Danio rerio: one gene and its partner. The protein of the gene in region 2 interacts with the protein of the main gene of each other region in a pairwise test. Links are inferred from orthologs where the notes say so. Each region holds a gene or a part of one and is shown on either strand. Other genes may lie near its edges.

Region 1 (3,831 bases), on a different chromosome or scaffold from region 2:
TGTGAATAGGGTGCGAGTTCACTGGATCCTTTCTGAGGTCCACCCAGCTCTGAGAGCTCAAACTCCTTCAGAAACTTCACATGGATGGAAGCTTTTAGCAGTGCTTCAGACTGAGCCGAACCCAGCTTTATGAGCTGTTGTCCGGTGCCAGCAAGAGGATTTCCCCTCAGGTCACCTACAACAGGCACTACGTCATTATCAATCCACTACAAGAGCAAGCTTCTGATTGGTTAACAGCACGAATGTCCACTTAAGTTCAGATTTTCCAACTAGAGCCTAATCGCAACTGTGCATTGAATTGACATGTAAATCACTTGCACTCGAAGCTTTATCCACGTCTGGCATGAACACAGCATAAGACCAATTGTCTGAAGTGGCCATTTCGTAGCCAAAGTTCTTGAAGCTGACATTTTCCTGGCATGTTTGCTTCAGTTAACAGGTACAGCTTCATGACTGCATTTGACTTAAGTTCCAGTGACTTAAGGTAATTTGCTTGTAAGGTTCCAATTGGGAACCACTGACTTAAATGATGAATTTGAAAGGATTCAAATGGCGCTGAAAAATAGCTCAACAGTACCAGTTGGCAAAACATGTGAAAAAAATAAAATGTTTAACAGTGGTAAAAACTAAAAAGCAAAAAAAGGTTCCTGATATCCCATGAATTGGAATAGCCATATTTTTAATGTCTGAAAAGGAGATTTTAAAATTCCATTATATTCAAGATATTCTAGTATGAATCCTGTGATGACCATGTTCTTTACATGATCATATGAAATAAAAGATGCACAAGATTGAGACATTCATTCACAAAACGGCACTCTGGGGGCCTGAAAACAACCATTTAAAAAAGCTTTTTTTTTTTTTTTTTTTTTAAATGGGTAGATATGGTCTTTTAGTGAACTACAAAAGCACAAGCAGTGAAAACTGACATCTCCTGCATTCATATTACATGGCATGTGCAAGTACAACAACTAATGGTGGAACACAATATTGTGCAGCTCAAGATTGATATGTATTATCTTGCAATTCAACACAGTTTTAATAAGAGTTAATTTGATTATGATTCTGCCATTATGAAAGAAAAAGAAAAATAGTGATGCTAGTATTTCTTCCACAATGTGTTCCAATCAATATGTTTGTTGCTCTGAGCCTTGAAACATAAGCCACTGGACATTAAGAAAGAGGTCCAACTCAGTTTCATTTCCAGCGCAGAGCCATTGCTCTTCTTCCGCATGATACTCTGCTAGCATCATCGCATAAACCAGGAGACCCTGGAGTCTGCAATTTTAGCACAGTTCTTTTGAGCAGAAGGGGTCTATAAAGATTCTAGACTTACTTGAATGTTTGTGCTTAATTTCTGGAAAATCTCATAGATTTGATCCTTGAAGCCACGGCTCAGCATTTCATCAGCTTCATCAAGGACAAACATCTTGATCCATTTGGGAGCTGGAAGTAAACAACATTACGTATTTTACTTCTTATACGCTTAAACAGCTCAAACAAGCTGGTCAAAAAGTATGATCAGTTAAATTAGTGATTATCTCCATAACAGGTCAGTCCCGAAAGATGATGCCATCACTTCATACTTTGCCCTGCATGTTGTTTCAGACTAAATCTATGTGTATCGATTACTTACACAGATACCGCCTGTTCAGCATGTCAAACACACGGCCTGGTGTGCCAACCACAATGTGCGGAGCCTCCGCCTGGAGCTTTTGCATTTCGTTCCGCACATTGGTGCCTCCAATGCAGGCATGGCATGAAGCACCCATGTAGTCACCCAAAGCCAAGATTACCTTCTGAATCTAAAGCATAGACAAAAATGCAGAGTTTAAATGAAAGGAACACCTAGTAAACACAAGTACTGTGTACCATTAATGCAAAGCACTGGACAAGTATGATCAGTTGAAAAGGTCTTCTCCACAAAAGGTCAGTCCCGAAAGATAGTCATACCATCATTTCATACTTGTGCAAAGCTCTATACAGTTACAATAATTGTCAAAAAAAATCACCTGGCAGTCTAACAACCTAATTTCCAAACACTAGCAGTAAATAATCCAGCTCATTAAAGAATGATTGATCGATTAATCTGCCCGAAAAACTACATGGATGACTGCTTCCTGCTGAACAGATGATCAAATTATGCAAATTACAAACAAAATCCACATTTATTGACTGATAAAGCAGGAAGAACAGCAAAAGAGTACCTTGAATTTGGCTACTGCCAGAATATGCCGCCTTGGTCTGAGACACACATCTTATTGTGTTATTGTGAGCTCAGGTACAGCATACCTGCTGAGCGAGCTCTCGGGTTGGTGCCAGGACCAGAGCCTGAGTCTCTTTCTGCTCAATCTCCAGCTGCTGCAGGATGGAAATGGCAAACGTGGCCGTTTTACCAGTCCCTGATTGGGCCTGCGCGATAACATCATAACCTATGGAGAAATCAAGCATCAATAAAAGGACAACAAAAATGGAAACTACTTAACTGTTAGTCTACAAAGAGATGAGCAATACTAAAACCGGATCAATATGTACAGTTTGATTACCAGAGAGGTAATTAAAAACTATTTGTAACTTGAGCTCACTTTACCTTTTATGCAGGGAATTATAGCTCTCTGCTGAATTGCTGAGGGTTTCTCAAAACCATATGCATATATTCCACGAAGGAGAGTTTCCTTCAAGTTCATGTCATCGAAATTGTCCGTAATCTCATTCCAGTTGCTCTGTAAAACAATGTATATGAGATTCAATGAGAATCAGATTGATTACACTTAAATGTTGAACATCTTACTTCAATATTAGAAATTCTCCAACTTAAGGCTATTGCATTTATTTGGAGTAGACATCAAGTTAAGCTATCACTTTCTATATTCTGCGATGTCAATCAATCAAAGTTTGTTGATTTTTTATTTCCAAGATGTTAGTCAGGGGTAGCATTTTTTTTTATAACTGCACAAAGTCCACTAAAACTTTGTATGAATTCTCCACCAAATCTCTGACAAGAACTATAGCTTACTCTACCTTGATCCCATTTGAGGGTTAAAGAAGATAAAAGATTTTGAAAAAAAGGTTAATCAAACTAAGGACAGACTGTAACAAATATTGAGAACTTAACATGAAGTCCAACAACCTCAAAATGACCAGTTAAAAAGCAAGATTTAAGTGCAGCCTTGATTTAAATGCGGAAGGTCTGATGACAATGCATGTACACATGCATGTCACTTGTTTTTGGATATTAATCTCACTTCAAAATTTATGTAATAACACACTGTGTGAGAGAGAGAGTTTTAATTTTATTGCCATTTTAGCGTCTATGGCTATGTAATGGCAAAATGAAAATAGATCAAGTAAAAATATTCTAAGAATTAAGTCATTAACAGCAATAAATGTACAAGGTAAAATATATAAATAATAATAATAATGATAATATAGAAGAAAAATCTAAAACAATAACAATTTCCTTTTGATAAAAATTCTACAACTTTAACACCCACTGTGCGACAGGAAAAACCTAGATTGACAAATTGCATCAAAGAGGGGGTAATTGTTGCTTCAAATGATTGAAAAAAAAAAAAAAAAAAAAAACACGGAAAGAATTGTTTGAAAATTAAGTGGGAACAAACATTCTTTGCTGGCTGCATTTGATGTCAGAAAGTCCCCATTCCAAACTTCTCAAATAGTATATGAGGTTGGTGCGTTCAAGTGCTTTGAAGAAAAGCAGAACCATTAATTCATTATTAATTGATAGGGAATCTTAAAGCTAAAATGGATTGCGCTGACAGATTGAATGGAATTAAATACATAAACTTGCTTGTTTGTAGAGCAAGTAGT
Region 2 (3,831 bases):
TTGTCAGGTTGTTGTTGGCAGAGTCACAACTCGTGTAAAGGATGAGACAGACAAGAGTAATCAATGCCTGCCCTTCTTTAACTTATTTTCGTTTTGTCAGGTTCACAGTGCAAACAGCTCCCAGGTGGAATAACTTGAGTGAACATAAAACAAAGCTGAATAAAACTTTCGAGAGGGGTCTGGATGCAGACCTGGTGCAGTGCAATCTGGGCTGCACCCAATGCTTTTTAATGGGCTCACCTAACCCCAACCCTAACCCTACCCCTCACAGTGACGTCACTAGCTACATTTGAGTGCATTGTGTCTGACATTGCATCTCTGAGTGATGCGGTCTCAGGTTGCAACATAAAGGCTGCATTCAGATACTCTTGAAACTTTGCTTCAGCTGCACAGCACACAGCGAGCTCACATCACCCAGCATGCGTGTCGAACTACACTACCCACAATACACGCCGCTATGGACTACAACTCCCGTAAACAGCAGTCTTAAAGTGGCCACTTCCCCTCTCCTGCAACACTAGTGTGCAACTTAAGCAAAACTGATACTAAAGTTGTTTTGAACTTGGTTTTGTAGTTCGGACCTAAATAAATATTTGTTGCAGTTTTTGATCGTTTGAGTTTATTTGATTGACTAAATAAAAATCAGTTGATAATATTAGCGCATTTATTAGGTAAAATTGCTACTTTCTACTGTCATTCAATGTGTTTTGGTCATTAGCAATGCACTGTCACTTTAATTGAGCGTGAGCAGCATGGCAAAAATAGACCCAGCGACGAAACTGCTGCTTCAGCGACGCTTACGACTCACGCTGATGCGCTGCTGCTGTGTGAGGTATGAAAGATCTAATCTGTTAACATGGATGTCGAAAAAACACACTCTGCTCATGCTCTGCTCACGCGCCACTTACGCTTGCCATGTGAAACAGGCTTAACTCTAGTTAAACACACCTGATCAAACTACTGCAGTCCTTCAGGCTTGTTTGAAACTAACAGGGATGCATGTCGGAGCAGGGTTGGAACTAAACTGCAAGGCTGCGGCTCTCCAGGAACTGAGTTTGACAAGCCTGCCTCAAAGGGACTTCCTTAATACTCTGTTGTAGTTAATATTACCAAAAACAAACATTTTTATAAAATAAATAAAACCAACAGTATTATTGTAAATGTGCTACAAGTAATATACTATTATTATAATAACAACAACAACAACAACATGTTAATAATATTAACATAGCATTATTATCAAAAATATATTATTTACACTAATATAATCAGTTATATTTCTTAAAATGCTAATAAAATTAGAATATTAATTGTATACACTACAAAAACCAAATATATTAATAAAATTTTAATAATGATGACAATAGCGTAGTATCATTTTGCGATTATGTAGTAGTAATTTATATACTCATATACTATCAAATGAAAATTAATCTAATAGTATTAAGATAAACTGCAACCGTGTATTAAACTATTTAACGATAATAAAAATACATGTATTAACAAGCTGTTTATATATCAACATAACAAATGAATGCATTAATTTGACTTGCAGCTTAAGATGTATATTTTTTAATCATCATGTAGTTTATGTACTTAGTTTTCTAAAATACCATTTGTCTATATTAAAGTAATTTTTTTTAATAATATATCAGTTTTTATACATTGTAAATTCATTTATTATTGTTACTCTTATGAAGCATAATATACAAATCATTATATAAATGATGTAATAACAACACAACCACCTTTATATAATAGCCAGTCACTATGGACTTACAAGGCTCTACCTGATATTGCCTATTTTTATTCTGTGACAAACTCGCATTATGTAATGTGTGTGGTTTTTTTTATTTTTTATCTAATTTTATTGACATAGCCGGATTCCTAGAAAATATTTGGGGAAAAAAAATTTATTACTCAAAACCACTGTGCATGCAGAAAGAAAACATTGAATCTATTATACTTAAACAAACGAACAGGCTTTCTGACTCACCGACTAGGACAGAGGTCTCGCAGTTTCCTATCGATGACTCCAGCATTAAAGCTCTGCTCCACAAACCGCTCCAGGATCGAATAGGCACACGGCACGTCGATACTGATGTCCGGCATGTCCAGATACACCCGTTCAAAGCCCTGCAAGAGGATGGAGCTCAGATTACACATGCTCATCAAGCTGCAGTAACTCGATGTGAGCAGCAGCTGGCGCTTCATACCCGTCTCATCTGATCCACAGTAATGATGGTGGAGGAGCAGAGACACTTCAACAACTGCAGGAGCATCTGAAGCGTCCGCTCGCCTGTAGACTCCAGCACCATGATCACTGCCTGAGGTAAAAAAAAAAAACAAGCATCATTAATAAAAGAGCAAACCACTAATCAGCAGCCTCGTGTTCTTCCTTTCACACTGTATTCAATATTTTAAAACAATACAAGACACTACAAGCAAAAACTGCATTCATAAACAGATAAAGTCAATTATTCGGCCTCCTGTACATTTTTTTTCTTTTTTAAATATTTGCCAAATTATGTTTCTTAGAGCAAGGATGTTTTTCACAGTATTTTCTATAATATTTGTTCTTCTGGAGAAAGTCATTTGTTTCGTTTCAGCTTGAATGAAGGCATTCTTTAAAAAAAAAAAAAAAAAAAAAAAAAAAAAAAAAACATTTTAAGGTTACAATTATTAGCCCCTGAAGCAATATTTTGTTTTTCCGATTGTCTACAAAACAAACCATCATTATACAATCACTTATCTAATTAATCTAATTAACCTTGTTACGCCTTTAAATGTCACTTAAACGGTCACAAAATATGTTTTTTTATATGGTGACAGTTATATGTGTCCCATGCTCCTGAAAAAACACTATTAGGACACACGTTTAACAAAAAAATTTGAAAAATGGTTGTTTTTGCATTATTTCCAGAAAATTCGTTCTTTGTTTATTCGTTACGTTCTGTACAATGTGACATCTTTTTTAGCATTAATTCATAAAAAAAAGACTCGACTCAAACCAAACTTCATTAACATGCATGATAGCTTCGAAGAGCATTTTACCTGTTACAGTGTTCAGACATCAGAGAGACGCCATGTTGTGTTGCCAACCGTAATTAAATAAATGGAAGAAAATTTGTTTAGAAACATGGGTCGTCAGTGTTGCTTTTATAAATTTATTACAGTGGTCTGCTAACACACGACTGTCAAATGAATTATCGCGTTGAAAAAAAAGTTCGTACACATGGATGCATTGAAAAAATGCCGCCTTTTCTTCCGTTTATCAGCCAGTTTCTTGAACTTTCTCCTTTTTATGAGCTAAAACTTTGAGATCTTAAAAAGCTGTTCGGCATGTATTATTTTGGCTTATTTAAACAATTATAAACAACATAAAACAGAAATATTTTGATGTTATTTGGTATATGGTATGTTATTTTAAAATAATTTTCATCCAGTATTCAGATTTTTAAGGTATAAATGTATACAAATTATTCACTTGTTAAGTGTGATGTTCCGTGAAGCGACTTCCTGGTCCAGGCACTCTAACTGTATGGAGAGGCTCAACAAATGGTAATAATAAACGCTTACAAGGTGATGTAATACTTTCGGAAATCATGATCACAATGTGTGTGTGTATATATATATGCCTAATATTCCATGGCCAGAAAGTGGAATGGATTTTTTTTATTGTGTGTACACCATGACTTTATACAAAATTCACTTTATTGTGTGATATGCAACTAAAAAGTGGTCATAAATGAATATTATGAGTAGCAGCTTGGACTCGGAAACAGTATTTCATATGTCACGACCTAACAAGCGGATTGGGCTGAGTGATTA

The links.
Region 1: the proteins of pdcd4b (region 2) and eif4a2 interact in binary tests that used the Homo sapiens proteins (3 or more experiments, as listed by UniProt). The two-hybrid records come from large-scale screens. The link is inferred for Danio rerio from reciprocal best matches to the Homo sapiens genes PDCD4 and EIF4A2.

Annotation. Positions count from the first base shown.
Region 1 is NC_133177.1:8,053,893-8,057,723, reverse strand, and holds part of eif4a2 (eukaryotic initiation factor 4A-II), read right to left. Parts: intron 2,724-3,831; coding exon 2,591-2,723; intron 2,433-2,590; coding exon 2,293-2,432; exon of another isoform or gene 2,208-2,292; intron 1,967-2,207; exon of another isoform or gene 1,896-1,966; intron 1,806-1,895; coding exon 1,637-1,805; intron 1,587-1,636; exon of another isoform or gene 1,516-1,586; intron 1,447-1,515; coding exon 1,337-1,446; intron 1,314-1,336; exon of another isoform or gene 1,135-1,313; intron 1-1,134. UniProt on the Homo sapiens protein: ATP-dependent RNA helicase which is a subunit of the eIF4F complex involved in cap recognition and is required for mRNA binding to ribosome.
Region 2 is NC_133197.1:31,538,750-31,542,580, forward strand, and holds part of pdcd4b (programmed cell death protein 4b), read right to left. Parts: intron 2,328-3,831; coding exon 2,217-2,327; intron 2,137-2,216; coding exon 1,997-2,136; intron 1-1,996. UniProt on the Homo sapiens protein: Inhibits translation initiation and cap-dependent translation. May excert its function by hindering the interaction between EIF4A1 and EIF4G. Inhibits the helicase activity of EIF4A. Modulates the activation of JUN kinase.